3 linked regions of the Oryzias latipes genome follow. The protein of the gene in region 1 interacts with the protein of each later gene in a pairwise test. Links are inferred from orthologs where the notes say so. Each region holds a gene or a part of one and is shown in the gene's direction. Other genes may lie near its edges. The genes, in order: nfyc, dr1 and srebf2.

The links.
Region 2: the proteins of nfyc (region 1) and dr1 interact in binary tests that used the Homo sapiens proteins (3 or more experiments, as listed by UniProt). The link is inferred for Oryzias latipes from reciprocal best matches to the Homo sapiens genes NFYC and DR1.
Region 3: the proteins of nfyc (region 1) and srebf2 interact in binary tests that used the Homo sapiens proteins (3 or more experiments, as listed by UniProt). The link is inferred for Oryzias latipes from reciprocal best matches to the Homo sapiens genes NFYC and SREBF2.

The regions. Positions count from the first base shown.
Region 1 is NC_019869.2:22,268,679-22,279,027, forward strand, and holds the start of nfyc (nuclear transcription factor Y subunit gamma), read left to right. Parts: upstream 1-5,364; 5' UTR 5,365-5,493; intron 5,494-5,859; exon of another isoform or gene 5,860-5,879; intron 5,880-8,027; exon of another isoform or gene 8,028-8,141; intron 8,142-8,502; exon of another isoform or gene 8,503-9,042; intron 9,043-10,349. Other genes in the region: uncharacterized protein LOC101158462, read left to right, coding at 814-1,717, 1,794-1,902, 1,987-2,052, 2,147-2,248, 2,349-2,535, 3,310-3,509. UniProt on the Homo sapiens protein: Component of the sequence-specific heterotrimeric transcription factor (NF-Y) which specifically recognizes a 5'-CCAAT-3' box motif found in the promoters of its target genes.
Region 2 is NC_019862.2:24,026,244-24,036,757, reverse strand, and holds dr1 (protein Dr1), read left to right. Parts: upstream 1-5,108; 5' UTR 5,109-5,726; coding exon 5,727-5,946; intron 5,947-6,116; coding exon 6,117-6,280; intron 6,281-7,507; coding exon 7,508-7,654; 3' UTR 7,655-8,779; downstream 8,780-10,514. Other genes in the region: retinol dehydrogenase 8-like, read left to right, coding at 609-705, 2,014-2,175, 2,330-2,509, 2,581-2,674, 3,065-3,248, 3,367-3,600. UniProt on the Homo sapiens protein: The association of the DR1/DRAP1 heterodimer with TBP results in a functional repression of both activated and basal transcription of class II genes.
Region 3 is NC_019866.2:19,990,233-20,000,772, forward strand, and holds the start of srebf2 (sterol regulatory element-binding protein 2), read left to right. Parts: upstream 1-4,678; 5' UTR 4,679-4,930; coding exon 4,931-5,021; intron 5,022-9,533; coding exon 9,534-9,904; intron 9,905-9,987; coding exon 9,988-10,180; intron 10,181-10,320; coding exon 10,321-10,490; intron 10,491-10,540. Other genes in the region: uncharacterized protein LOC101155604, read left to right, coding at 170-194, 864-2,728.

The DNA.
Region 1 (10,349 bases):
AAATATTTTTCTTTGCTATTTATTTTTTAGCCTCTATTTCAGGTTGTTTTAAAAAAAACAACATATGTTTATTGTGTGTCTGTTGGAGAAAAATGGACTTTGCTTCCAACTTTTAAATTGGGAGACTTTGGTTAAACATGTGTTACTCCTTTTACACTTTAGTCATCCAGTCCTCCAAACACCAAAAGGTCAATTGCAGAATAAGCTGATTAAGTGATATTAAGCTGTTTTTCCTCATATTTGGAATTTCCTTATCTCCCATAAAGTTTTGTTATTTAAAAAATTGGACATGTCAGGAAATATTGTAATAAATAATTGGCAAACAAAATTGTGCTTACTTTATGCCGGGCGTATGTTTACACGCTCTCCCGCTAGCTTACAGCCCCTCACAACCCCAACCTAACATTACCAATATTGGAGCTATCCAGCCGTACAATTTTGAACCAGATGTCGGTTCAGACGAGGAAAACAAGGAAATAAGTGGATCTAGTTGTCTAGAAGTAGATGAATCAGAATGGAGCGGAGCAGGGACCCTATGGCCTGCTGTAGTAGCTTCTGCACCACACTCACAAGTTTTTTGCAACATCATTTTTTGTCTGGTCATGATCCACATTAATTTTAATGAAGCAATACCCAGAAATGTCATTTTAAGCCTACGTTTCTTTATGTCCTCAATCATCAGAAAAATGCTGCAAGAACATGTTAAAACACTCAAAAAAATGGATTTTTATCAGCAAGGGCCTTAATATTCTTATGGGAAATATTTACAATACAAAAATATTTCAACAATTAACTCAAATACTTGTTCTCTAGTTCCTCCAAGGCAGAGGCAGAGTAAAGAGCAGAGCATCCCACATCGACCCACTTTAGATGTGCCACCACTACTACCAGAATTTGCAGATTTTAACAACAGGAAGAGGAGCTGGGATTACCCAAACGCGCCTGGATTACACCCAGATGCGGATGCAAATAGAGACAGGCCGTTTCAGAGGGAGGCCGTTTTCAGCCAGCACCGCCCTGCAGATGAGTTGCAAAGAGGAGCGAGTCTTTCTAAATACAGAGAATGCAGCATGAACCCTGATTACCACGCTCCGTACGAAGAGCAGTACGTCCAAGATCCACAAAGGCGGAGTTTAGTTGAGCCGCTAGAACGTCCCGTGTATGACAACAGGGAACCTTATGGGCAAGGTCATGATTACCAATCAGAGGCTGCTTCTTCCTACAAGAGACCCTACTCAGAGAGAGATGCTTTAGAGGAGTTCTACGCTGAGGAAGTTAGGCGTGGGAAAAGTTCACACGAATACCAGACCCCCCATCAAGGTTACACTGGTGGCGATCAACAACGCTGGTCTCTGGAAAGAGAATCAGGACAGCATGGTGGTCTTGACAGAGCTGGTAGACGAGGATCAAGTGAACCAGAAGCCAAGAGAAGGAACGTATCCGCAGCCCTGGAAGGTGAAGGAGGCCAAGACCAGCTGTTTAACATCATCAAAGATTACCATCATGAAATGAGATACATGCATCAAGAAAGATCCTTTGACAAACCTGGGCCGAGCAGAGAGGAGTCCCCAGGTGCTCCGGTCGCCACCAACATTTCTAACATCCCAGAGCCCTTCAAGCGTTTCCTGACAGGAGGTGTGATGAACGAAGGCCTGGCCAAAAGAAAAAGTCGCTTCTCTGATGCCACTCCAGAGGAGCTGGAAATGACAGGCCAAATGTAAGTGCAGAGGTGATGCAATCTTACAGGTAGAATCCATGTATTAAATGACGTTCATGTCTCGTTTTTATTAAAGGTTTCAAGGTGCAAGTAGACCTTCATATTCAGCTGCTAGAGAAGAGCCCCGACCAATGAGAGCAGAGCAAGGAGGAGCCCAATACTCTGGACATTATGGAGAATCGCGGGTGACTCTTGTTTGAGATTACAAGTTTTTAAATGTTTTACATTTGCTTTGTTAATGATAATGACCAGTTTCTTCTTGTTTTAAGACTCCTCATCATAAAGAGGGCTATCACCAAGGAAGTTCTGAATCAGAGGGTGTCTTTGATATGCTGGTAAACAACTAACGGTTTTTATTTCATCATGTTCTTGTGAAACGGCCATGAAACATGGCCTGATCAGTCTTTTGGGTCACGTTGTTTCCTTTAGAAAAATGTTGAAATTGAAGATTCAGAAGAAGCAGAGTTCCTGAAGAGCAAACTCGCCACCCTTATGAAAGAGTTCCAGGCCAAAAAACGCGAGAAGGGCATGGTATGAAATCCTTAATGTCCAATTTACTTCAATTCCCACACAAAGCAAAATTCTTTTGGTATTCAGGAAAAAGAAAAGTCACTCTGCTTTGGTCCTGCAGGCTCCTGGACCACATGAGAGAAACACAAGAGAAAGCTTTGATCACACACGACTGGAGGACCCTGCTTTTGGCAGCGGTCACAGAAGAGGGTGGAACCAGCGTGAACATATACCTGAGGAGCACTACCAGGCACATCGATATCCTGCTCATGAGGAACCACAGCAATCAGTCAGAACCCGTTATGAAGGTACAAGAAATTAGTTTTCCTAAAGCAACTTGTAATGGGTTAGACAATTAGGACTTTTATCAGAAATATAAAAAAAAAATTAAAAAATAACCTTTTTTCTCTCTGAAGTTGATAAATCCTTGCAAATTGACAAAAACATTTCTCATTTAATGTCTTAATCTTATTTTGATATTTTTAAAAATATTACTCAGATATGGGGGCTCAAAGAAACTGGCAAGGACCCTTAACTTTTAAATTTGAACATAATTTTAACATTTTAAGCTTTTTCAAAATGCCAGAGTTCAACGCAATGTTATTTTTTGGCAATACCAATATCTGAAATTAATGTGTTAGGCAAGACATCAAGGAGTAAGTGTTGCCTTTTGGATAATGGTGCTACAAGCTGCTTTTGTTACAATAAAAACATTTCTATTGATAACGTTTCAAGTCCTGCAGCACCCCCACCTGCTGGGAGCTTTCTGCAAGGACCCTAAAAGGGGACAACAGGTTACTTCCCCTTCAGAATTTCACCTGTAAATCAAACTTTTGATTGACACCCACTTTTTGATCTGATCTATGAGAGAGAGCAGAAGAAAGTGTTTTTCCCCCCCTTGATGCTCCACTTTAGATGAATGGGTAGATTTAAGTTCTGCAAATAGTATTCTGACTTGTGTACAAACCTTTCATGTTAGTTGTATTTTTTTTTAAACAATTCCATTGTGTTATTGTCAGGCACCGCCAATGGGGTGTTTTACTCTACAGCTAACAATAGTTCTCCTCTCTTGTTTTGTGCAGACGAGCTGGCATCTTATCCTGAAAGGTTTCAAGAACCCATGCGTCCTTCAGAATACCAGCCTGGAGTTGGTGAGAGTCGAAACTCCGGTGTGCCTCCTCATTTCATGGAAGAAGGAAGCAGGAGACTCGGGGATCCCAGCTACTCTAAAAATCTGGATAAGATCACGTCTGCCCTCCTGGAGCTTGTGGCTAGAAAATAACTGATGCCTCATTTAATGGAAAAAAAAAAATTAGACTGACGACGGAGTTTTAGGGCCAGTTTACAAAAAATATATATATTTTTTTTAATTTTGTCTTTTAAGTTGTAAATTTACAAGAAAGAAAGTCATAACTGTTAAATTACAAGCTTTTTCTCGTAAATTTACGAGTTTTTTTCTCGTAAATTTACATCTTAAAATCTCGTAAATTTCTGAGAAAAAAACTCGTAGATTAACGAGGAAAAAACACCAAAGTTTTCTGTTTATCGGAGCCTAGTTTGAAGATGAAATATGTGGAGCCTTTTGTGAAGCTTTATTGAGTTTAGTCGTTCTGCTCTGCAGCTACGCGGCATTCACTTGCTGCTGCTCCGTATGCTCACTTCCACTTTAAGTTGTAAAATTACGAGTGTTTTTCTCAGAAATTTATGACTTAAAATCACGTCATTTTACTTTTAGTTTTGTGGCCCTAAAACTCCGTCGCAGTAAAGTATCTTTGCCAGTTTAACTTAAATGTATTTAGTATTCAGTTTATTTTTGCTTTAATGATTTGTCACAATTTTTTTCTATGTTGTTGTCACAATAAACTATCTTCTACCACTGTCTTTTTTTTGTTAAATTACTAAGTAAAAAGAAAATAAATGTATTTTTGACTTTTAAATTATGTGTGCATTTTGGCCTAAACCTAATTAAAAAATGATTGCTCGACACATTTGTGTTTTTTAGTCAAAAAAATGTTACCTTGACATTCCATCCTATTTTATAGATGGGATTTATTATGCTGCTTCAGTTTGAGATTGCCAGATATTTTAGTTTATTGAGCAGGGATGTAATGAACTGCAAAAGTACTTTCAGATAATAGCTCAGAATTATCCGTTTTATGTTTTGTTGATTAAAAAGAAAAGAAAAACGAGGAAAAATACTAAATTTATGCATAGAAAACTAGTTGGACAGCAAGAGAAAAAAGTCAAAGTTTTGTAAAATTAGCATGACATTGAGCAATCATAAATTTAATGATGCAGTGTATTTGAGCAGTTAAATCAGAAAATGCAAATCATTGAAAAATTATAAAAAGATTCACCATCAAAAAGAAAAGTATTTTTCAAATTCATAAAGTGAAGAGTAAAACTTAATTTAATTTTGCCATTTATGCATTCTTAAATATAAAAGCTTCCTACTGTTGTACTGAAAACACATGTCATCAAAAGTATCCAGATGAAATTAAATGTGTGATAAAAATCGTGCTTGTAAAAAAACAGTACAAGTAAGTCTAGATACCCACAGACACATTTAAATGAAAACATTTGCATCCATGTAATCACATCTGTTTCTAATATGCATGCAGTATAGAAATATGAATTTATTACTCATCTGCATGATAGTTGTATATCTTTATAAAAGTTTTTGCTTGGTTGGTTTGGTTATAAATGTATTCTGTTCCACACTGGCTCCTCAACTGGAAATAAACTTCTTTGTTTGTGGACATTTTTAAATATTTATATACTTTCCCTTGTTAAGATTACACAAAAACTATGATAAACACTAAAAAAATATAGTTTCATCTATTTAAATACATTGAATTAAAATAATTTAATTGTTGACTTTATAAAATATTAGATTATTTATAAACCTAATTAAAAAAAACTATGTCTTATTAACGTTATTTTTCTTTGGTCAGCAATAAAATTACATAATTTGTAGCTTATCACATTAGTGTTACCATATGTTCAAAAAGACATAGTTTCATATTTTTAAGATTGACATTTTTTCCTGCATTTCCTGTTTGATTTGCATAATTTATTTGGCATTTATAGTTTTTTTTTGCATTTTATAGTATCAGGATGATGCCGTCGTGACCTATACGTCATCGCGTTCGTACGTTCATCCCTTTCCGGTATGAGGTAGCAGCCATCTTGTTTCCCTTTGCAAGCTAAATAAAATAAATAATACGCCGCACTGGACTTCACCGCGAAGCCGCAAAAGAGCATAAGTAAGAAATTAAATTTCATTGATGTGTTTGCCGTGTACACTCGTGATAGGTCGAAATTGCGGCAATTAATTGGCCTTTTTTCCATTTGCTGTTCTTGACCAATAGACGATTGTTTTGGGTGATGAACACAGGCGCCATTTCCCTCCCCGCTCTCTGAGGCGCTTATTGGTGGCCCGCTGAAAGTATCATCGGCGGTTGGGAAACCACTGCTTTGTGTCCGCCATTTTGGTTCTCATTACCATTCGTTTTGTTGAACACTGGCTATTCCTATCAGACCCCGAATGGCGTCAGTTTCAGAACGAGCTTAGCCTTACAAACCTTGATTGGTGGAATCTAGTCCGAGGTTTGATTGGTCTGAAGGACAGACCCAAACGTTGTCTTTATTGGTTAGTCCGTTTCTTCCAAGATTTGCAAACTTTCACATGATGACAGAACTAGTTTGCGATTTAGTAATTAATATTACGACGAACTGCACGCACATTTGTAAGACTAGCCGTCTACAAGGTGCTAACACTAACTTCACTATCGGTACCGAGAAGGCACGGATGACCATTCTAAAGTTCACCATCGGCGCTTTGTTTGCCCTCTTTCCCCGTTAACTGTTTTGGCAGCCGAGATGTTTAAGCTAACACTACATCACATTTAATATTTCCAATATTTTAGCGGCCGTGGTTTAAATTTATTGCAGCGTTGTTGGGACTAAAACCTAGCGTTGTCTCCCGCCTATTTAATTTGCTTTGAGGTACAATTTCCATGAAGTTACCATCGTTTCAAAGGATAACAGGAATCTTATGAGAATATTATGTCTGAAATTCTAAGCTAACATATCTGACACTCGCTGGGTGGGTAAAATTGTGAAATTGCACTTCTAAAATGTTTGCAGGAATGCTAAAAAAATATGTCAGAGGCACAATTTATCTAAAATAAATAAAAAACTTTTTGAAATACTATAATAACTTTTTGCTAGGTGCAGCGGTGCTGCATTTTACGTAATAAATACCCACTTTGATCTAAATTATTTGAGGCTTTTTGATGTTTTGTTATCAGCGTAAATACAAATAAAAAACGGTCTTTCCTGTAGTTTAAGCTAACTTTACCAGTTGAGTCCAGGTTGTTATGTATTTGCATGTTTGTGGCTGAATGGCTAACCGCGAGGGTTTCTGTGTTTATCAAACTCACCGTCTGTTTTGGTGTATGCTTATCTCGAAAAAGCATCAACGAAAGCAAAAATGTTTCTGGTATGGCTGCAGAGGTCATGGGAAGGTTTAATGTGTTCTGTGACCTTGGCATATGTCATGACTTTTTTTTTTTTTTTGGTTCATCTACATAGAAGAAACTTGCTAATACATTTGATATCTATTGTTTTTTTAATTGGTTTTTTTTACATCTCGACTCCATGTTTAACTGGCTGCTGGAAGTACCTTTCCCTGTCTTCATGCTCCATGTGAAACTACAAAAAGGAACATTTAGCTCTGTTTCTTTTGAGTCTGTCATGTTCCCTCTTCCTCCCTTCATTTATTTCACCCCTCCTATTCTGAAACAATTCTCCTCTCTGTCCTTCTCCATCCTTCCAGTTCCCCTCCCCCTCAGGTTTTCATTGATGGTGCAGGTTTGCTTTCTATTCTGTTCTTCAAAACCTTAAGTTGCAGCAAAGTACAGCATTAGCCTTGTACTTTTGTACTTTTCTAGAGTTTATTTTCTGTTTTACATAGAGTTCATGAACACGTTTCTAGTACTAGGAAACCTAGTACCTAGCTAATATGGCATCAACTATCATGAGTTCTGCACATGAGCAGTGGAATCCTTCTTTGGTCTTTCAAAGTAAATGTTTTTGAGTCGAACGTGCGCACATTTAACCAGTGTGGAGCGCACAAGAAGGACATTGTCAGACATTGCTGGTGTGGTTTTGTGATGACGTATGAATTGTGGAAGTTGCTGTAAGCATAGTCTGAAGGGTCAAGACAACAATGTGTGTGTTTGTTAGCTCTCACTCGTAATCTTCGTCGTGTTTAACCACAAATAGAGGAATGCCACCATCTTCCACAGCTGCTCTCTCATCAGCTGATACATTTTTATTGATAAAATAATTCCGTTATTTTTCGTCCAGTTTTTACTTTTCAAACTTTGGGCTTTTAGGCTCTGTCAAGTTATTTATTTATTTTTAAATATTCCTTAATTTCAGCTTTTAAATGTATGTCCACGCAGAATATCAAAATATTTTTGCCGAACAGTGTTGTGAATTTTCTTAATACTTGCAGGTAAACCAGCAACAATAATAACAATAAGCAAATAAGAATAAATAAGGAGGCAAGGACAAAATGTGCATTAGTGTGGTTGTGCGTGTGAGCCTGAGTACACACATGAGACAAGGAGGCTGACTAGTATGCTTTTGTACTTTAAATCATGTGGATGCAACATGCGGCATTGATTCTGGCACTTCTCTCTCTCAGCCAGTGAGGTGTAGCCTGGCCGCCTGCATCACTCCGCAGCCAGCCTGTAGCAGCGGCTCGAAGGCGGAGCGTAGGGAGACATTTAGTTTGACATTGTAAATAAGCAGAGAGCAGTTGTCAGAGAGCAGCCCGTGGATTCTTTCCCATATGACCAGCGGGAGAAGAGGTAGACGCCGCTTGAGAACAAACCATGAAGAGGCAAGCCTTCACTAGCTCTTCCTCACACACTCCCTGAGGAGCTTTTTACAACTCCCCCCCCCCCTGTCTTTTCGTATCTACTTTCTCTTCCTCCTTTCTTTTCACTGACCCCTATCCTGCAGCTCAAGGTAACTTAGAACAGGAAGTTAGCTGTCTGTACTAGGGGGTTGGGCTAAAGAAAGAGGAATGGGAGGGGAGGAGTCACAGCTGATTGGTGTGTGAAGTATTCAATGGGAAAAGAGGAGCCCGTCCTGGCATTGGTTTTGTGTGTCGGCGGAGGTGGGATTTGGGCGTAAGGAGGGGTTTGAGTATCATGTAGCATGCTAGATTGATTACGCTTGAATGTTAAAGGGGAAGGAGGCTAGAGATTTTTTTTTGTCTGTGAGTCGGGAGTGCCGCTGTAATGTTAATCTGCTGGGATTTTCTTCTTTTTTTGCCCCTTATCACCCTCTTTTCTGCACCTGACAAGGGTCTTTCAAAGACAAACTTATGGGACAGTGGCCAAGGAGAGTGGAGGAAATCTCCGAGAATAACTAATACAAAAGAAAGACACATGTTCAGCAAGTTGAGAAGTGGAAGACGTGTCCAGGAGGACGTTGAGGGGACTGTTTGAAGGAGACTGAGCAATGTGTAAAATGAGATTGGAAGAAAGGGGGAGGGGTAGAGGCGTCAATGGTTTTAACTGTGTCCAAGATTATAGGTTTTTTTTTTTTAAAGGGACGTCCAGTGGAGCCTTTTGTGTGTTGATATGATCTGCAGGAAGTGAAGGAGCATGAGAGAGTTGTTCTGTCAACCTCTGCGCTTGCTGCTGCTCTCAAGGAGATTTGAGCAGGGCTATCTGTTTCCATCTATTCTGCTGTGCTCCCAACAGGGCAGATCATTCACCATGAAGGACACGGCGGTAAGTGACGACTCTAGGAACATCTGTCAAGCAAAAGTTTCAGAAAGAGTTTCAGAAAGAATCTGTTTATCTCTCTTTTCATTTCTGGATGGCTTTCCATCACTCTGTGTAGCAGAGAGACAGTCTGTCCTTGGAGTTGTGTGCATCTTTCTTCCATGTCCTTGAACTGTCACTTCACTGCAGCATTGATGCTTTTTATCTTAAACCATCTGTAACTGTTATTGAGTACCTATTTAGGTGTTTTTCTCTTTTGAGGTCAAATTAATCACATAAGGTCAAGCCTTTCTATCTTTACATTTCTTGCTTTGACTTTAAACTACCATGAATTTTCAGTTTATACCCTTATTTTGATTACTTTTTAAATGTTTTTTCCCCCATTCTGGACAGATGAGTGTTATAGGATCACTTTTAAAGCTTAAATGTTGTATATAAAGAGCTGTGCAGATAGCTCTCAGTGTTGTCACATTGTTGGTGTCAGGGGTCCCCAGGGGTGGAGGTGCAGCTGGTTGCAGTGACCTCGGGACCCCCTACAGCCCCTCCTCCCTGACAGCGCTAGACGCCCAGATGGGACAGACTGTCAGCCTGTCAGCTTCAGGGGCAGCGGAGGCTAATAGTTTGATCTGATCTCTTCTGATGGAGTCTTCGGAGGATGCCTCTTTTTCATAGCGACTTCGCTGTCTCTCCTGCTGCCTACAGTGAAACTTTCTGTTGGTGCCTTTTGATAAAATGGAGCACCGTCGGGGAAAGAGGAAAAATAGAGATTGAGAGAGGGAGACTAAAAATAACTCTTAAGTTGAAGCTCTTACTGCCAAATCCCAGGGTTGGCTGCTGTCTGCATGAGATTTGAATATCATTTGTGGCCTAAGCTGAACTATAGATACACGAGGGGAAAAACAAATTGAGGAAACAAGTCACCCAATCAGCTTTCGTTAAGGTGACCAAAATGGCTGTGTGCGTCCTTGGCCTTTCTGTATTTCTCACGTGTGTACACTTCTGCCTGGAGGCTGGCAGGTGGAGTCTCCTTGTAGTATGCAGGTACCTTTTAGGCCTGCCTACTTTAACGCCAGTAACTGGGCTTTACGTTGGATGAAGGTCACAGGAATGTGAGAATGTCTCCAGCAGGATCTCCGTCAGCAAAGAAATGTTGATGAGTGGAGGAGAAATCCACAGAAGAATGCTGAATGCAGTTAATATGTACACTGTGCAATGTTTTGAGTTTTATATGTTCAAACCTTCTTGGAAAGCGGGAGTCCTAAACCGTTAGGGTCACTTAAGTGGCGCAGTGAAAGTTGAAAAACCTGTCCATT
Region 2 (10,514 bases), on another chromosome or scaffold:
CTGCATTCTGGTCACCACATGTCCAGATTTCTACACAGATTTTAAAATATTTTAGCCTCCTCGGGAATTACATCCTACTCTACATTTTTCAGACAAGCTCAGTGTTTACAGACCGGTCCAATTTTTCATCCACCTGCAGTCCAAGGCCTGTAAAAGAGGCACCCGCCTCAATCTCCTCACTGCTGATGGCGACACCTGCTCCATTTTAACTCAATGATATTGAAATTTCCTGTAAAGTTAATCACAAGATGTTTTTGTTTTACTCTTTCTGTGCAATTGTACTTTCATCATTCCAGTTTTCCATCACACACAAGTTTGATCAAATATAATTTTCTAACCTTGTACTTTTACCATGATATCAGATACTTTCTTCATCTTCAGTTCACTGCAACACAAAACTAGCTCTTATCTGCTTTAATCTGCCTTGATCAGCAGCACTATGTGTATACTACACTTCACGGTAATCTTCAGGGCAGGTGCATGAGGCTCTGCTGAGTTGCAGGCCTGAGGATTACGGTAAGGTCTTTAAGATTGCCTCCACATCCAGTCTTTTATTCTCCTCCATCCTTACCTGCTGCAGCTGCAAGACGAACAGTAAAAGCGGGAAAATGAACCAGAAGGTGGTCCTCATAACTGGCTGCTCCTCTGGGATTGGGCTCGCTTTGGCTTGCCGCATTGCAAAAGATGAAAAGAAAAGGTTTATGGGTAAGTTTCAATGATTTAGTGTGAGCCTAAACTGTTTCTGAAAACATCCTTATTTTAATATTTGTACAATAATATGTTTGAAACAATGACCGCAATATTTAACAGTACACTGAAAACAGGATGTGGATGTTTAACAAATTAATGTTTTAAAAAAGAGACACCATCAGCAGAACTTAAGTCCATTTTTTAAAGTTTGAATATTTGGAGGCTGAGACTAAAAAGCATTTTAACCAGGTTTTAGGGTTTTATTGACGTTCTCCATTCTTGCCTGCTGCAAAAGACAAGAATGATGGAGAATGTTTGTTTACATGGTATTTATTTGCAAAAAATACAATGAAAAGAAATGTTTATATGGTTCTCATTGTAATATATTCTGTTGCTGTATCAAAATTCTGCTTTTATTGTCTCCGTATTAATTTATTACATAATCACTCTGAGCATTTCCAGATCATCTCAATCTGATTCCCTGCATTTATCTCCAAAATATCTAACATGAGCTGATCCTCCGATCTTTTAATTCTTGATCCTACCCGCCCTCTTCACAGAGAACCAATATTACGGGTAAAAATGCTTCCTTTAAAAAAGATTCCACTAACGATGACAAATGTTTTCTCTTTGGTTTATACTTATTCTGTTATCTTATAGGATATTGTTTTTTTTGTTTTTGTTGTTGGAAAGTGTTTTTATAAAGTCACATGCATTTCATCCATCCTTATATACAAGCTGTGGTTGAGTTCTTTCCTTCACTTTGTCCTTCCAGGCTTTGGCATGATGGTTCTGAATGTTGTAAAGATTACTCCACAACTCACTAATGAGGCCAGCCATGGCTCTGGACCCCCCTGAGGGATCTAAAGGATCAGTGTTTTGTCAAATGGGACAATCTGAAATGTGACTGAAGAATTGAATCACCAACCCTTTCTCTGAAAGGCAACTGTGAGCCACAGCCACCCAGGATTATTTCAAATTCAGTCTATGTGGAGTGGACTGTGCTTACACTAGGTTTCTGGTTCCAAGGTGGGACAGATTATTTGGGTTTAATTTCTCCAAACAAAACAATTCTAAAATGGTGAACACCTTTCTTAGCACACCAAGCAGGGGTTAGGGGATACTTCTGCTGCTTAAAAAGAGATCATAGTTACAAGTTTTGGTCAAAGTCTTTGAAAATGACTGTTAATTTTCTAAGGACAAAAGATGCCTGAAGAGCCTCTAAAATCAAGCAGAGGTCATTGTGCTTATTATAAAACTACTTTTATTTAGTGACACAGCAACTAAAAACTGCATCTTCCACTGAATGTTTTTCTCTTGCAGTCTATGCAACCATGAGGGACCTGCACAAGGCTAAGCCACTGATAGATGCGGCTGGTCGGACACTGGGCAGAACCTTGGAGATCAAGAAGCTGGATGTTTGTGATGAGGATTCCATCAAAGATTGTATTGACAGCCTACCAGAACGCAGGGTGGACATCCTCAGTATGTCGACTCTAGGTTCCTTTCATACATGAGTATTGTCTTGATATAAGTGTTATGACGCACCATAACAGACTTATTGAAGTTCTTTTTCGTGCAACATCTTTTGAGCACACTTTGTCAACATGACCCCCACATTTTTATTTCCTGGTAAAAGTAAGCAATGCAGGGATGGGCCTGATCGGACCCATTGAATGTCAGTCTATTGATGAGATGAAGACGGTCATGGACACAAACTTCTTCGGACTTGTGCGATTGCTGAAGGAAATCCTACCCGACATGAAAAAAAGGAAGAAAGGCCACATCGTGGTCATTAGCAGCGTGATGGGCATTCAAGGTGAGGACGGCTGCAATGCCTAGTTGATCATTTGTCTGTGACTCTCTGACCTGTGATGTTCTCTGTTTTAGGGATTTTGTTCAACGACGTCTACGCAGCATCCAAGTTTGCAGTGGAAGGTTTTTGTGAGAGCCTGGCTATACAAGCCTTGAGATTTAATCTCAAGTAAGATACTCAAACACACAAGGACAAAATTGTTAGTAACTGTCTTTTAATAGACACTGTTTACATTGATGTACTTTGGGTTCACCTTTAATATCTATGGAGGTTGTGTTGGGCTCTTTAGTTAATTTTAAGTGACCATTGTTAGGTTTTTTTTTATTACCAATAGAGAAACATCATCAATTTTGTCTAGGCAAATATTGCTAAATATGTATAACAGTGAAACGACAAGACACCAGGTTTTCCTAAACCCCTTTCCAAATTACAAAAAACAGTTTCCAGTTTACACATAATTTAAAATGCCTAGTTACAAAAGAAAACCAAATTTCAACCCCTTTTTTTTTTTACCAGAATCCAAGCAATTGTAATTAAAACTGTGAACTATGTTTTTAGCATCAGTTTGATTGAACCAGGCCCGGTGCTGACAGAATTTGAACGAAAGGTCTATGACGAAGGTGTGAAGATCGATCTCAGCAAAGCTGACAAACCAACTGCTGATATGTTCACAAACATCTACCTGAAGAACTACAAGCAAATCTTTGAAACCCTTGGACAAAGTGCTGAAGACATCGCAGAGGTACACAGCCCCCCAAACATGCTCGTGTGTCAGTTATGTCATGTGTTTTGACATTCTGAAGCAAAGTTCTCTTTTGTTTTAGTGTTGTTGATTTTTTTGCTGTGTGTTTTCTTCTCAGCACACACTAAAGATCATCACCATGGAGAACCCGCCTTTTCGCCATCAGACAAACACACTTTACACCCCCATGACAACACTCAAATATGCCGACCCCAATGGTGACCTTCCAATTGACACATTTTACAAGATGGTGTTTGAGCACGACAAAGTCTTCAACGCTAGCCTTAACTTCCTCAAACTTCTGCGCTGGAGAAGTCGCAAGAGTTTCACCCTGGAAAAAGACAAGAACTGAGTGTTTCAGGATTTTAATTTCAAATGCAAAATACATCAGTGGTTCAGAATTTAAAATTACATTTTGAAAAGCCTTCTACAGAAGTAGTATTTGAATTGAGAGAGTATATGTATTTGAAGGCAATCTTAAATAAAAAAGGTTTGAGAAGTGTGTAAATTTTGATGCATGAGAACTGCTTAAACAGTTAACACAGTGGCGAATTCCACTGTGTTAATTAAAATTCACTTTAAACATGTTTAAATCCCACTTCTACCATCTTTTGATCTATTGTAAAATTGTTCCCAGTTATATTTTTCTGTTGCTCTCAATAAGCTGGCTAGCTTCTGTTAAAAAATCCAAAATTATTATTTAAACGAATTAACTAACACTAACAACAATATTTATCATAATTTCAAAGGAAGTTCTATTTCTTTATTAATTTTTCTATGCCACTAAATAAAGATCATTGTGAGAGAAACTACTGTTTGGCATTTTGAAATGTTTGTCTTTAGAAATTACATTAGATCAAGTTCTACAGGTAGAACTTGATTTAATGTATATTTACACTTTTTGGAAGTGTAAATATAACTTAAAAACAAAATGTTCACACATGGCAACGGGGCAACTCTAAGTCAGATAAAACAAAGAATAGTAGGGATGTAACACTTAATTAATTTATTTATCCAGATCAAAGTCTGAGACAAGTTGTTAATCAAATCGATAAATACCATAAGATCATTTCAAAATTAAATTGACTATAATCTTTACTGAAAAATACCATTTGGATTGAGGCATTGTAGGTTTATTTTACTGTAACTTAAAAATGACCACGTGCATCACAGTGGACAACACACACACACACGAGATGACAGCAAAACACTTTTGATTTAGCAAAGACGTGACCAAACAGTGTGGTAGAATGTTCTGATAATGTTCCATTTGTATTATTTTTTATGTGGAAAAACAACAGTAGGCAAAACTTTATGAAACTAAAATGTGAATGGATTTGACATTGGTACTTGATTACTGGCTTGTTTGTACACATATTTAATTTACACTTGATTATCTTGAAAGAAATACAAGGAATGTGGAAAAACTTCACCTTGCACTGTTAGTACCCAGGTATTTATCTCTGAGCCACATTGGTTGAATATTTGGCTGAAGATGTTCTGGATCAAAATAAGGTCAGTGAATCGTAATAAATTTACTGGTTCACTATGATCTAAAATTAACTATGAATCATATCAGCAACCACAAATTATATGAATCAAATTATTCTTAATATTAATGTTACAACTGCTAAAAACAATGCATTTGTAGATACATACTTTTTTTTTCTTCATTTAAAATAAATATATTTCCAAAAGTAGGCAATCTTAGAAAAATCAGAGATAATAGTTTGGTTTTGTAACGAAAGAAAAAAAAGATAATTACATCTGTAGCTCCCTGCGGAACAATTTCCAATCATTTGTTGTACCACCCGACTCCATCCTGGTGGGCACCGGAAATTGTTATAGCGCACACTCGGAGCCAATCAAAAACGCCCTTTGTCTGACGTCGTAACCGGACACATTTCAGCTAATGTTTGTACAGTACACAACTCCAAATTATAAACCTAAACAAAACATCTGCAATCAAATTTTGGTCAAGTTCAGGACTTACATATAAATACTCCAATTATTTACGAGTAGAACTGACTATAATTCTTGCGCTTCGTAAAGCAAACAGCTCCGCTTCATCTGCGCTTAATTGTTAGCTTAGCTTAGCCATGCTCTCCGCTTTCATTGGACTTGTGTGCTGCGTCTCAGTTTCGCCACGGACGACGGATATAAGGATATAATTTTTCTTCCCCCTCCCTTTTTTTACTGTAAGCTTCAGAGCAATCTTGGACATTTATTCGCCGATTAAATACGATATAGGAGCGCCGCTCAAGCAACAGAACCTGCTCATTGTTTGACATTTGGTTGGTAAGCTAGCCAGTGGGCTAACTTAGACTAGCTCGCTTGGCAACATTTCCATCGATATTTTCTTGAACCGTTATCTGTCTACTGTAACATGGACATAGAGAAGACAGTGAACGCGTGATAAATCTTCTCGAAGAAGCGGAGTTCCACTATTCTGTTCCTTTCCCCCCTTTTTTCATCACTATGGCTTCCTCGTCTGGAAATGACGACGACCTCACCATACCGAGAGCAGCTATCAACAAAATGATCAAAGAAACTTTGCCTAACGTACGGGTGGCCAACGATGCCAGGGAGCTTGTGGTCAATTGCTGCACAGAGTTCATCCATCTTATTTCCTCCGAGGCGAATGAGATCTGTAACAAATCCGACAAGAAGACCATATCTCCAGAGCATGTCATTAACGGTTGGTTCTCATTTACATGTATTTACCACCTCTTTAAATATCGCTCGTCCTTTATGTGGGTGGGTGTGTGTGTGTGTGTGGGGGGGGGGGGGATGCAAAGGAGCACGGATCCTCCTGCAAGCTTCACATCATAGAAAGTGTAGTTTCAACCTCGTGTTTCTGCACCACAGCCCTCGAGAGCCTTGGTTTCGGCTCGTACATCACAGAGGTGAAAGACGTGCTGCAGGAGTGCAAAACGGTTGCTCTTAAGAGGAGGAAGGCCAGCTCTCGACTGGAAAACCTGGGCATTCCGGAGGAGGAACTCTTGAGGCAGCAGCAGGAGTTATTTGCCAAGGTCTGATCTCAGAAAACTGCACCTTCAAATGTGGCTTGAACACCCACAATAATATTAACCTACAGATCATGATGAACACGGGCACACAACTTGTACTTTTCATTTGAGGTACAGAAGGGCTTGGTTTTGTTAACATTTTCAAAAGTTTCTAAACTGGTCATTCCATTTAAGGATATCAATCCCCTTTAAGATTGGATGCAAACAAATTTAGGTGTTTTAATAGAAAATACTTAACTAAGCTCATAGAGGAAGTATTTAAGATGAAAAAAAATCTTTTCCTGTCAAGTATTGTAGAAATGAAGACATGTACACACAAAACAATTTCAAATATCATATAGGCATACACATTTAAATCAACCTGAATGTAACTTCCTCTTTGAGTTATGCTGATTGTCCTGAAACAAAGCACTCTCTGCTCATTCAAAGTAAGTTAATGTGGCCCTTTCAGCTTTAACTGACAGGCCATGGTGTGTTTTTGCTAAAGGTTTTTTACTTTAAAGACCCACTCAAATAAAATATCATGTTTTTGGTGTTTTCTAAAATCTTCTTGTGGCATTTTTCTGATGATGGAAGACGTATCATAAGAAAAACAAGCTTCATATTACATTTCTGAGCATTTCTTCATTCAAATAGTTCTGAGTCAGGAGCAAACGACAAAATGCTGTGTGGAAAAAGCTACAATCGGCGGGCCACAAGCTTCCCTCTCTGCTCCATTCTGATACATCCTCTTGCAGACAAATGCATCCATGTACGTCTTTTTCCTCGTCTTAACAGGCTTCCGACTCAGCTATACAGCTGGAAATCCAATATTGCTTATCATTTTTGTCGCACTGGTAAAGTTAGGTTGGGGGTTTGAGGGGCTGTAAGCTAGAAAAATGCTACAAGAACATGTTAAAAACACCAAAAGCATGATTTTTATTTGAGTGGGTCTTTAAGGTCAGAGAGATGTATTTTGTTCACATTCCTTTAAAAAAAACATTTTGTTCCTATGTATTGCTTTGTTTGATTTGCTGCGTTGTATTTGATATTCATTTAATAAATATCCAACAACACAAGATAAACCTTTTTGAGAAGTTACATGTACGGTATATATTTAAAAAATTACCAAAAACTATTATTTCTGCAGTAACCGGCCGGACTCACTGCAGGTTGCCATGAGCTTGAATGGGTAAACCTGAAGTGCCACATTGTGTCAAGCACTCATGATAGAATGTGCGTCTTCTGCAGGCGCGGCAGCAGCAGGCGGAGCTTGAACAGCAGGAGTGGCTGCAGATGCAGCAGGCTGCCCAGCAGGCACAGATGGCAGCAGCATCTGCAAGCGTTGCCCAGCAGGCGGGCTCTTCTCAGGATGAAGACGAAGAGGACGAAATGTGACCCCCCCCCGCGACCCACTTTACTGTGTTTGAATTTAACGTTAGGAAAGTTTTGGTACACAAATCTCAGTTTTGCCATGAACAGGGACTTAAAACATGTTTGTGTACTTGAAATTTAGAAAGCTAAAGAAAGGGATGCGAGGGGAGAAACGGCCCCACATGCACATTCAAAGAAGCGTTTTTACCGGAAAATGGTAAAAATGGAAAGGCTGTTTGCGAAGTTTTTCATTAAATTTATATTCCCCTGGGTTTTTTTTTTCACTTTTATGTTCATTGTTAATTTATAGATTTTTCTTTACGTGTTGAGAGCACGTTCAAAGAGCAGACTTTGTGACAGATAAATTCACAGCAGATCTTTGCTCCTTCTGATACGGCATTAGAAGATCTGTTCAACTCATCCTTGGAGCTCAAACATGTTCAGAATTTCTGTTCAGGAATTTCCAAGCATCTGCTTTCTGCATCTTTCTCCCTTCTCGGTTTATTTGTCAAAGTGAATTCATGCAGCATGTGTGTTGGTATCTGTGCATCAGCGTCTGCCTGTGTACTGTGTAGGGTTAGATTTAGAGAGCATAGGCTAATGGCAGGACGCTAATGCCCATGTACTGCTGTTTGCTACATAGAGAACTTAAAAGGCATTATTGTTTAATTTTTAGATCATCCAGGCACTTCTTTTCCTTTAAACACCCACAGTATTGATAATTAGCAGCACCTACACATTTTTGTTTCATAGAACCAAAGATGGGGGATTTAACTTTTGTAGTTTTCTTTTCCTTTTTTAGATGTAGGTGCTGCTTAGTCAAGATCTTCTAAAAACCATGTCAAAGACAATAAACTTGAATCTCTGTGAGGCACTTGGGTGTCTAGGCTTACATTGCAGTTTCCATTCTAGTTCTTTTACAACATAATATATTTCCATCAGGAATTTGGGACATCTTTGGAAAAAACCAACCACCTTATTGTGATATGCATTTATTGTCTGTTCTACAGAAATGTATTCTTTCAACAATAAAATAATTTTTTATAGACTTTTTTTTTTTTAATCTTCTAAGATGTACTGTTCTGCTTGCTTACATTATTATGGTATCTTTTTCTATGACCTTTGTATAATAAAGCAAAGTACATTCTGCTTCATGCTTCCTAGGAAAAAAATAACAAAATAAAAATAAACTACTACATTAGTATATTTCTATCAACTAAAAGTGGCAGAACTGTGATCAAAAACAATGTTTCTGAAGTATAGACTAAATTAAACTACTGCTCAATAATTAGGTTAAATCTTGATTTTGAGCTTAATGCATTTTGTGGAAACAAAATGTGGAGTGGTAGAGTGGTCGACATATGAGTGGAAGGTCGCTGGTTCAGTTTCCGCTCTGCTTGGCGATGTGTTGAAGTGTCCTTGTCACCACTGAAACCCACATTGCTCCCCGGAGGTTATATGTTGGCGCCAGAGTTCAGCAGCAGAGCTGCTATCAGTTTGTGAATGGGTCTCTGACTGTAAAGGGCTTCTTAGAAGGTAGCAAACCGCTATGTAAATTACCCTCATATACTATTTACGTCACTTGATCCCGGCATGCTTTTCAAAAATCCATGAAAGCGAAAAACAGTTTTACTCTCAAACCTGACCTTTACTAATGAAATAAAATGTTTCTATTGCAACATTTACTGTAGAGTGAATGACAGCTGTTTATTCTGCTGTGGAGGCCACCATAGGCTGTTTTTTTGCTGCTAAAGTTTATGGAGCCTTATGCAATTGCACCTGTAACCCTTGTGCTATCCTAGGCACTTTAACATTGGGAGTTGGGTCATGTAGACCCACTATACAGTGCGCTAAATCTTTTTTCTTTAATGATTTGTGATCTTCACTGGTGTCCATGGATTACATGAAATCTTTCAACCTTTATCCACCTTTGTCATGGTTGGGAGAACACGTCAATGTAAGGGTGGGGTCATCTAAGATAGCGCAAGGGTTAAGCAGGCATCACCAGTCAGTGCAATATCAATTTGGTTATTGTAGGTGGTCCAGTCATTGCATGTTTTTACCTCAGAAACATCCTAGAACCTAGGGTTAACATTTAGAGTAATCAAATAACCTATGAAGCATGTTTTTGGACTGTGGGAGGAAGCTGGACTGCACGGAGAAAACCCATACATGCATGAGGGGAATATGCTAACTACACACATAAAGGATCCAGCTGGGATTCAAGCCAGAGCCTTCTTGCCATGAGGCAAGAGTGCTAACCACTGTTCCACAGTGCAGCCTGAGCTGGATCTTCTTACTCCATATTTGGTCAGAAAGGGAAACACTGCCCTCATTTGACAATGTAAAGGAACATCAGTTAGTGATAGGGGAGTAATGATTTGTTTTAACAATGATTCGATTCATATCACAATTTCTAGTTGACCATACAATTCATGGTCAATATTCGTTCATTTTGAATAATCCGATTCCCTGACCCAGAATCAACCAGCGTGACTCAGAGATAAAAACTTGCGTACTGAACAGTGGTAAATGGTAATGGTAAATGGCGTATACTTATATGGCGCTTTCTACCCTCTTTCAAAGGCCCAAAGCGCTTTACAGTCACAGTCCCATTCACCCATGCACACACACATTCACACACTGATGGCGGCTCCGCTGCCGAACACTGGCGCCAACCTCCCACCAGAGGCAAGGTGGGGTTCAGTGTCTTGCCCAAGGACACTTCGACACATGGGCGTGCAAGGCGGGAATCGAGCCTGCAATCTTACGATCATGGGTCGACCGCCCTACCGCTGCACCACGGCCGCCCAATGCAGGGGAAGCTCTCCACATTCCTTGCAAGATAATTAAGAGTACATTAAATATGTGAACGAACAAACAT
Region 3 (10,540 bases), on another chromosome or scaffold:
CTGCAAGGTTTTACTGCTTCCGGGTCGTGACGTTTGACTCCTGAACCAGCAGGGGGCAGCAGACTGTCAGTCACAACAGTGTTTACATCTCGAGACTGAGCAGAGTTTAGCCCCTGACCTTAGTCCTTTGTCTCCCAGGATGAAATGGAAACCTTAACCATAAGTACAAATGCCTTCAAACTTTAAAGAAGAAGGTAAGTTTTTGTTTTTATTCATCTTCTACCGGTACCTGTTTTTTTTATCATGTTGTTAGTATCTGACCCACTTAGTTAAATAACTGAAGTTTTTAGTGCAATTTCTAACGATTATATGTGTTCAAACTCGACCTTTACATCTGAAGTTTGACTGAATGGCCTCGTTAAGCGTTGTTATGAATGAAGTAATGAATAGTTGGTGTTTTAGGCCTTCGTGTTTGAAGCTAATTGTTTGACTTTTGTGTGCAGAACCGTCCGGAACCGCGGACAGCATTTATGCTAGTTCACAAGATAGAGGCGCGTGACGCTAACCCAGAAAAACCCACCAAGTTCTCTCTCCCTTAATCACTAAATCACTGTAATGAAAATAAAAGAAAAACGAGTCTACCAATCAAATTTAGAGCCTCGGTTATTTTAGTGCAGGATAAGCTAAATGGTGTACTCCATATGTGTAATTATTGGAGTATTACTTTGTGTAATGCAGTTATTGAAACAAGAAAAAAACAAAATTTCTGCATTTTTTTCCAATTAAAGTGTAGAAATGCTTCAGCTGTTTTCACAAACTAAGTCAGTATTATAGCTGGTGTTTGTTTCTGTTGGGATTAAGCTTTTATAAGACAGCTGTGAAAATGGATGAACTATTTTACAAAATAAAAATGTCTCTTCTAGTTTTTCCTGCAGGTGAACAGAAAGTGAAAGAAGAACCTGTTGACATGGAGGTGGACGAAGAAGGTAAAACCTTAAGCAATGAGGAAGTCAGACTCGTCCTCATTGGGAAGACTGGATCTGGGAAAAGCGCGTCTGGGAACACCATCCTGGGCCGCAAGCAGTTCCTGTCGCAGATCAGCGCCAGCTCTGTCACACGGATCTGTGAGCTTGGTAGCGCTGAGGTCATGGTAGAAGAGGACACAGAGGAAGATGGACTGGCTGCCAAAAAGGAAAGTAAGAGGAGAATTACAGTGGTGGACATGCCTGGTTTTGGAGACACTCACCTCACTGAGGAGGAGACTCATGCAGAAATAGCCAAGTGTATTTCCATCTCTGCGCCTGGTCCTCATGCTTTCCTCCTGGTTGTGCCAGTAGGACGATATACAGACTGTGAGGACCAGGCTGTTTGCCAGTTGATCAAGATCTTTGGAGAAGCTGCTGTTCTTCATCACACCATCATCCTTTTCACTAGAGGGGATGACCTGGAAAACATGACGATTGAAGATTATCTGGAGACTGCACCAGCTGGCCTCAAAGCTCTGATTGCAAGGTGTGGAGGAAGATACCATGTCTTCAACAACAAAGATACCAACAACTCAGTGCAAATACAGAAACTACTGTTGAAAGTGGAAAAATTGGTTAAGCAGAGTAACAGAGGGTTTTATAGTAATGAGATGTTTTTAGAGGCAGAGGCTGCCATCAGAGACGAGCAGACGAAATTGCTAAAGGAGCGAGGGCCTGCAGATGATTCAGATCAGGACGAGAATACACTACCAAAACGAAGAAAACAAGATTTGGAGCCAAATCATAGAGAGGAATCTGGTTTTAGGGTGGAAAGGTGGACAGAAGAAAGAAGAGATAACCCCTTTTCTCCTCTGAGAGGAAATGTTAGAGGCCGACATCAGGGTGGGAGCAGGTCGGTCAGCCAGCGGCGGACTCTTCGTTCATCCTTGGGTCGCATCAGAAGGGAAGCGGCTCTTTCTCCAAAGGTGCTGGAGAAAATTAAGATCCTGGTGGCCTCTGGGGCCACAGGCATGGCAGTGGGGGCTGCATTTGGAGCTGCCGTGCCGTTAGCTGCTGCAGCTGGAGTCTCTCTTGTGGGCAGTTCTGTTGGTTTTGCTGCCAGTCAGCTTGCTGGAATGTCGGTTGCAGGAGGTACGGGTATTGGGAAAGCGGTTGGTGCGATTGTGGCTGCAGCCTCAGGAAAAACTGCTGTGGCGTTAGGTGCAGCTACAGGTGTGGTTGTGGGCGGGTCCATCGGAGCTGTTGCTGGTACTGAGGCTCTCGGCCCTCAGGAGGGCGCCCTAGATGCCCTTCAGCAAGTCAGTTTAGTAGGAGCGTCTGCTGTGGGGGTTGCAGCAGGTTTAGGTTGCACCTTGGGAGCTGGTGCAGCTTTAGGTGCAGCTCTGGAGGGAAGCAGCTTTAGTGCTGCAGCTCTCAGTGGAGCTGAAACTGCAGCTGTCGGAGCAGCAGATGCCGGCTCTGCAGCTGCAGCTCAGCTAACTTCAGCTGTGGCAGAACATGCAGCAGGCTCTGCTGGAACCATATCTGCAGGGACTCATCAGGGCACCTTTGCTGTGGCTCAGGATTTAGCTGCAAATGTTCCGGTGGTTGCTAGGACTGGCAGTGAGCTACAAGGATGCAGAGTAGCTACAACTTCTCGCCTTTTGAACGCAGTGGCTGAGATTGGAAAAGCTGCAGCAGGCTTCGCCCTGGCTGGAGGTCTGGTTGTGAAGGTGGTGAAGGAAAAAGTCAGAAGTTGTACAGGAACAGCAGGAACCAACTACTCTGAGAAATCATCCTATGAAGTCTACTGGAACAAATAAATTCAAGCTAGGAGTCCAATTTTATGCAGTGGAATCATATTCATTTCTTGTGTACATATGATAAGTACATGCAGTGGCTTTCTCTCACTTTTAAGTTTTCAAATTGTTAGTAAGTTGAAGTGATTCACTAGAAGCTGTTTGCTTGAAACAAACAGAATTTGTACCCCAAAAAAACTATAATCTGAAGAGATTTTGGTTTGCTATTTAGATAAATACAAATATGATCAATATTATGTGTAATCATGTCATGAAAATAAACTCAAGGAAAAATAAACACTTGATTATTTGCACTCACAGATGACAGTGGGTGTTTGTACTACACTGTCTAACATTTATTATATAGCCCAAACAGGAGCTTTGGACTTCTGTTCCTACCTCTGGTTTGGACCATCTAGAACCAGGAAATTATTTTTAAAATTTATTATTCTTATGTTTCCTAACAGATAAACATGCACTTCTTTAGTTTTCCTACATTAACGATTATGTATTTTTCAAATGACTGATTTAATTCTGTTTACCAACTGGCATTTACCGTTAAGTGTTTTTTGTTACCATTTCTCCACATAATGGAACAAAAGTATTTTAAGCACAATATGCACTAAATAATAAAAAGTATGTAAAATGACTTGAATGTATGCTGATTTATTTCTGTTTTTTGATATAAAACACCTTAAACCTGTCTTCTAATGTTCTATTTCTAAAGGCTTTTGCCTCACATCAAGAAGGCCCCCGGCTGGGAGACCTAAAACAGAACATCAATGGAGGACCTTTCTGTGTTCTCCCAGGGGACTCCAGCTTCCTCCCACTGCTTCATAGGTTAATTGGTGACTCTAAATGGTACCTAGGTGTGAGTGTACATGGGTGTGTGATGGCGACAGACTGGCGACCCGTCCAGGGTGTCCCCTGCCTTTGCCCACAAGTAGCCGGGATAGGCTCCAGCAGTCCAATGACCCTGAAAGGGATAAAACAGTAAAGAAGATGAACGAATAAATAAAAATAATAAACAAATAATTCAAAAAAAAAAATCTGGAGTCAAGTGTACCACAACATTGCAGTTAGATGTTTCTAATTTACTTGCAGTTGAACCTGAGCACTATATCCACTAAGGTTTAAATGAGGAGGCTGCATGGCAGGTTAGGATGAGCTGGACGTTGTGAGGGAACACAGCTAATTATGAATGGGAAGGCTGCTCAAATGAACTTCTCACACTGCAGATTTGTAGACTTACGGTACCTGTGACTGGGTGAGTTATTGTGCTGATGTAGCACCGATGCTTTACAAGCGAGTAAATGTGCGAAACGGTATTTACACGCAACACAAAGCAGCCAAATGGTGAGGTGACAGGATAAACTCTACCGCTCTTATATTTTAGACCCTTTTTTTTGCCTTTTTTATTCTTCATGTATATATACAAGCTTGTTGTTCAGTCCTTTATTAACTGTTGAATACTGCAAAAAAAGAACACATTTAAATGTTAAATACAAGTTTTATATTATTTTAGGTTTTACAAGCATTAGTTTCTTTAAAAATACTTATTTAAATATATGCGTTTTTATCATTTAAATATTTTATTAAAATAGAATTCAGAAAATGGTTAGAATTCAATAATTAAATGACAAAAGTTCCACATATTAACAGAAAATTTGATTTTCGCATAAGTAAATATTTTAAGATTTAAGTTGAGCTTATTTCTATCGCTGCTTTTAATTACAGTATTAATGTAAACTCATAAATAGTAACCGCCTGACGAATCAGACTCTCCATTGCTCCTGTTTCCTTTATAAAGACAGGGGGCGCGGTTTATTCAAATGACACGCAGGCTTCTGATGGTTGACGTGCTATCAGACCACGGTAAATCCCGCTCTGTCATTGGTCACTGATGACTGGTCCCATGACAAGAACAATTAGGTTTCCACCAATCAGATCCCGGCTTCAGCTCCGGAGTATGTTTGTGAATGACGTAATTAGCGTAAAACAAGATGGCGTCGCCTTGGCTGTAAATCGATGTAAAAGTGTTTATCGGAGTAAAAGTCAGCCTCTTTTGGCGGTTTATTGTTGTGTTACGACTACTTCGATACGGAACAAATATATCTAGCCGGTAGCTGAGCTGTAGGCAGGGCCCCTTCAGAGGAGGCGGTGGTTTGTGAGTGTCGTGTCCGGCAACCCCCGGCGGGAGAGTGCCGGAGAGCTGCTGCTGTCAGGATGGACACCGGAGAGTTCATCTCCACCGTGGAGAACATGGACCCGAGCTTAACGGAATTAGGGGACGAATTCACTTTAGGAGACATTGACGGTGAGTTCACTGGGTTTTGTCAACACACTCAGGTGTTGTTATTATTTTTTAATTATAGTAAGTGTCCGTCTTCCACATATGTTCTAAGCCTAGAAAACTAAGATATTTCAGTAGCTCTTAACACACAGGGTTTATTATTAATTTAGTTTGTAGCTACGTTTATTTTTGTGGGAAATACACGTAAACTTGTCTCTGCTTTTCCGTTTCCTGTTGGATTCATTCAATATTTTACTAAACAAAAGCTATTTTTCGTTATTTGTTAAATTAAAGGTGCAAAAAAAAAAAGCTAGAGATTAAAAATGACTAGAAATTCACCCAAACTAGTGTCATTTTTCAAAACTGACGTTTTTTTAATGAGGCAAAGCGGCTGTCGAGGAATACCAGTCAGTCAAAACTGAGAAAGCATCACCTGTGTGTTTATTATTTATATAAAACATGAAGGAAGATAGCATAAAAATTATAATATAATATTAGCAGAACATAGGCTTCTATTGGTAAAGCAAAATGAAAAATATTTAAAGAAAGAACAAGACAGTTGAAAAGGTTGTGGTCGTTATTTTCCAGCTTTATTATGAAGGAATTACTTAAGAATTGCACTGATGTCTGCATTCCTTGCGTTTTTTGATAGGTAAGACAGATGTGTTGTTACTATTGTCAAAGGCAAATCTGTCAGAGGGTAAAAGGACAGAGCTTTTGGTTGAACACTAGTCACCAGATCCCCATTAGTGTGGAATCTCATTCAATGTCACCAGACTGGACTGATGAAATGTGGGTGTGTTCTACATAGAGAACTATAGAATGGTACTAGGTGTATAACATTATTATGAGGCAGAGACCATCAAGATGCAGTGAGAAACTGCTCTTTTATTTTGAAATTCTGTCATTTTGGTTTTTGCTTCAATGCAAACTGGTGAAGAAACATTAAAGCACCCACCAGCAGAACATCTATCATTGAGTTAAAACAAACAAACCTTCTAAAGCTCTCATCCCTTACATGCATTTAAATTCTCAAAGCCTTTTGCTCACATTAGAAGTCATTTTTTGTTTTTTGATTGTATGATTAAATCCTTGGCTTCCCTTCCCTGTCTTTTAATCTTTTCGACTGTTGGTTACATAACGTATTTTCTTTGCTCTCAGCTCCCCCTTTTGATGGATTTACTTTGTGTCTGCTTGTTTAAAGCTTTGGAGGCTCAGAGAAGTGTTGTCCCGTCTGCTGCACAGTACGGATGAAGACGAGCATGTCTGCATGAGAATGCGTTCAAAAAACTGCTTTATGTCTAACTTTCACACCATTATTGCGTTTGTTGCACCTCTTTAAACACACGCTCAGAGATGAAGTTGTTTATTTTAAGACACAAAGGATCATTGCTTTATACGCTTTGTTTACTGTCTGCGTTCCCCCGGCAACAACCAAAAAAAGGGCAAACAACATTTTTCCGATGTGCCACAGGTGACCGGCGGAGTCTGAGGACTCACTGCCCATCGTGACATTTTCTGTAGGAGTAGGAAAACAAGTTATTTTAAGATCAAATGATGCTACAAAGCCATAAAATTGCAAACAAAATGACCAGTTTTAAAGATATAGAAGAAAAGGACTTCTTCCAAATGCTTTTATAAATTGCAGATCTTAGCCAGATTGTCTTAAAATGATTAATTTATACCTTAACAGAAGCTTTGTCATCCTTCTTATTAAAAAAATCATTTGAAGGATTTGTTTGTTGGACTTTCAAAATGTATGTGATCCTGCTAAAAATGAATTTCCTATATTTAGATTATAAAATTTACATTATACATTTATTAGAAACACAAACTGCTGTCATTTGTAAAATATTGATTCAACAAGATTTTAAAGCTAACATTTGTGAAATACTCTGTCAGTTTAAAGAATTTATGAGATTTATTTAAACAAGATTATACTTTGATTTAAAAGTTGTTTTATTTTTTACAATCTTGTTTTGTATTTTGGCCCAAATTAGCTTATTCATGAAACAGGTTTTACACAAAGCAGTTGTTAGATTATTCAAAAAAGGTGAAAGTTGCACTTTTAAAACTGTTAATGCTTTTTTGCATTTTAAATATTTTTATTCTGTTTTTGTTAATTTGCTCATTCTGGTCCCAACCTCCAAATTTCAGTGTGTCTGTATTCGCACACGTGGTTATAAATTGAAACCCTGTTACGGAAGCATATTTTTAATCCTCAGTTGTTGTTTTTTTTCCAAGAAACTTGATTGAAGGAATATTTTTGAATAATGGCATGACAAACAGTGAAATAAATATTTCTTATTCAAACTGTCATGATAAGGTATGAAAAAAAAATTGCATTCATTTTTTTGTTTGCTGATGATACTGCTGTTTCAGGAAACAACTTCAGAAAGTTAACAGAAAATTGAAGAAAATATTTTCTACTCAAAGTGCTTTCTTCAGAAGGAATTTTGTTGGTCTATTACACCAAATGAAGTTGGTAGTTGTAATTGGTTTACAGCTTTTAAATAAGGTACTTTGTGTATAAAAAAAAATTCACACTGTTTACATTCTGCTTAAATATGTAAATTATGTTTTAGGGGTTGCATGGAGGAAGAGGGAAGCATAGATTGTTGTCCAAACCTTAAAATTCTGTTTATTTTAAATATCTTTTATGTGATAGTTTAACACGTGGGTAGCTTTTGTTCAGCTTTTTTTTGTCAAATATCATGCTCCTGTTCACTCATGGTTGGTTTGTTCCTGTTTGGGTTTGACTTTTAGGTCATTTGAAGAAATGGTAATTCAACATAACTGAATAAAACATTTGAAGTTTTCCCTAAAATCATCGTATAGACGGGTCATTTTATGTTTTAGGAGAATTCCAAGCACAGAAACCATATTTTTTGCTGCACATTGGTGGTTTATTGTTCCCCATCAGCTGTGTATTATTGTATATCAGGACTGTAAAATCTGCAACAAATCGAATTTATAGATGTAAACTTAGCATTTAAAATCTTCATTGAAATCATTTCAAATCTTAATCTAAAATGCAGGTTGTTATTTTTAGTCTGGTTTGTTCTGCTAATGCAAATTAGTCTGTTTAGCCGTACAATTCCATCAAATTACTGTTTATTTCAGCACAAACTAAACATCTAAAGTCACAGTTCTGGCGTCTTTACTAAATGATTAATCTGATCTACAATTTCCATCACAAAGAGAGAAAGTTTTAAATGTGACATTTGCCTATTTCTTTTTAATTAAAGCAATCTAACAATGAATAAATTATTTAGAGAGAGCTGAGTTGTAATGATCAATTAATCAAAATGTTATCAATCTTCTGTCAGAAAATGCAGTAAATATTAACTATTATTTGAAAACAATTGATTCATATAATTTCCTGAATTTCTTGAGCTAAATGAAGAAGTTTCTGATCGTTTTTAATGCAGGAGTTTATCATTTTACTCATGAAAAGTCGACCTTTGTTCAGTTTTATTCACTCGTAAATTTGCATACATTTGCATAAAGCACTTAAACAAACTTTACTTTAAGCAAAACTGGTTCTATGGTAGATTTTAGGCAAACAAATTTAGCACTTTATTATCTTTGTAGATGGCTTAGACATTTCATATATAATTATTAAGTTGGCCCTTTAAGAAAAAACTCTGTGGTGCTGAAAAAAGAGAAATCCCCAAGACGACGGCATGCAGCTCCTCACAGCTGCGTCCATGGATGCCTTGTCGTTTGCATTGTCCTCTTCGCTTCTTTGCAGCAGGACTAAGTTCAAGGCTGCAGAGCAGTAGTGACCCTGACAGTTGAAGCCACGCGCTCCATCTGTGGCGTGGGGACCGTCACTGTCACGAACCCAGAGGCTGTTTGCCAAAGTCTTCAAGCTCCAAAGTCTGCTGAGTTGCACAACAGCAGTTCTTTGACAAATGTTGTGCTGGAATTCTGAAACATTTTTGTTGTGACTCTACTGTGGGTTGAATGAATGAATGAATGAATGAAGGAATAAATGAATGAAGGGAATGAATGAAGGAATAAATGAATGGATGAATGAATAATTTATTTTTTTAAATTGATTCTTAATTATTAGATCCTTGTTTAATTATTTAAAACAGAATTTTTGCAGCTGTAGCTTGAATCGAGTTGCATTTAGTCAGTTATTGTGTTCTGGAGTGGTTCATCAGACACATTTATGGAGACTGGAGTGACCTCCCTCCAACCATATCACCCCACATTTCCTCTAAGGTTAATCAAGGATACCTGTGGAGGCTGCTTTTTATGGATAGGTTATGAACAGTAGCTCTGTTTATGTGTCGGTTCAAGGTCACATCAGGAACACGTGCAAACGCTCTTCGTCTTGTGCAACGAGCTTTATTTAAAACTACCTGGAGGCAAATCCACATTCATTTTCATAGCATTTTGAGCTTAAAGAAATTCCGTTTTCTTTATTTGTTTTAGTTGCATCTAGTGAAGGAAATGGTCGTTCTAATCTGAGTTTAAATAAGTGTAAGGCCTTAATGTTTTGATGCAATGTTTGTTTCTCTTCAGAGATGCTGCAGTTCGTCAGCAACCAGGTGGGAGACTTCCCAGACCTGTTTGAGGACCACATGACCCAAGCGGGCTCCCTGCAGAGCAGCGGCGCCGGCTCCGCCCCTCAAGCAGCCGCTCAGACCCATCAGACTCCACCTGCAGCCGTCTATCAGAGTCCTAACCCGAGCCTGGCTTCCTCCCAGTCTCTCTCTCCTCAGTGTGTACCCCCCACACCTCCTCTCACTCCTGCACAGTCTCCCCCCACCATCCCAGCCGCCACAGTACAGCAGCACCAGGTGACGCGCAGTCCTCCGCTGCTGCAGCCGCGGCCTCCGGCTGTCCAACCCATCCAGCCTCAGCCACAGCCGACGGCCCAACCAACAATCCAGGTAGAAACTCTGGAGACTCTATTCCAAATCCTTCGAGACGCATGAAAGTGTTGTTGAATAACAGACTGTTTGCTTCGCTGCAGGTGCACACTCAGGGCGTTCCTGTGCAGACTCACAGTTTCCCGGTCCACACCCTGGTTCAGACCCACAGCCAGACCCCCCTCCCCATCCAGACGCAGGCTCCACAAACCGTCATGATTGCCTCTAATGCCGGACAGTCCCGTTTTATCCAGAACTCCGTCATTTGCCATCAGAGCCCAGGTCATAGTTTCCAAGGTGACTACAAAGGGAGATGCTGTTTGCATGAAGTTCAGACTTTAAAAGAGTCTCCTTTATATTTCTAGTCCTAGCTGTCCTTATGGGTTGTCGAGCTTCCACTTTATTGTGAAGGAAATGTTTTTTTTTTTAAATCTTAGTCTTGCAGCCACAAATGCAGAGCATCATGACGTCTCCCCAGCTGCAGCCAGTAACCATTCAGCATCAGCGCGTTCTGACGCCCACTGGTCAGACCATCCAGACTCTCTCCACAGCGCCCACCACAGTGCACACCATGCAACAGCAGGTGCAACAAGTGCAGCAGGTGCCGGTAAGTAACTCCTCTGTTGTAACCAATAGGAAATATGTTTTCCTGTTTCA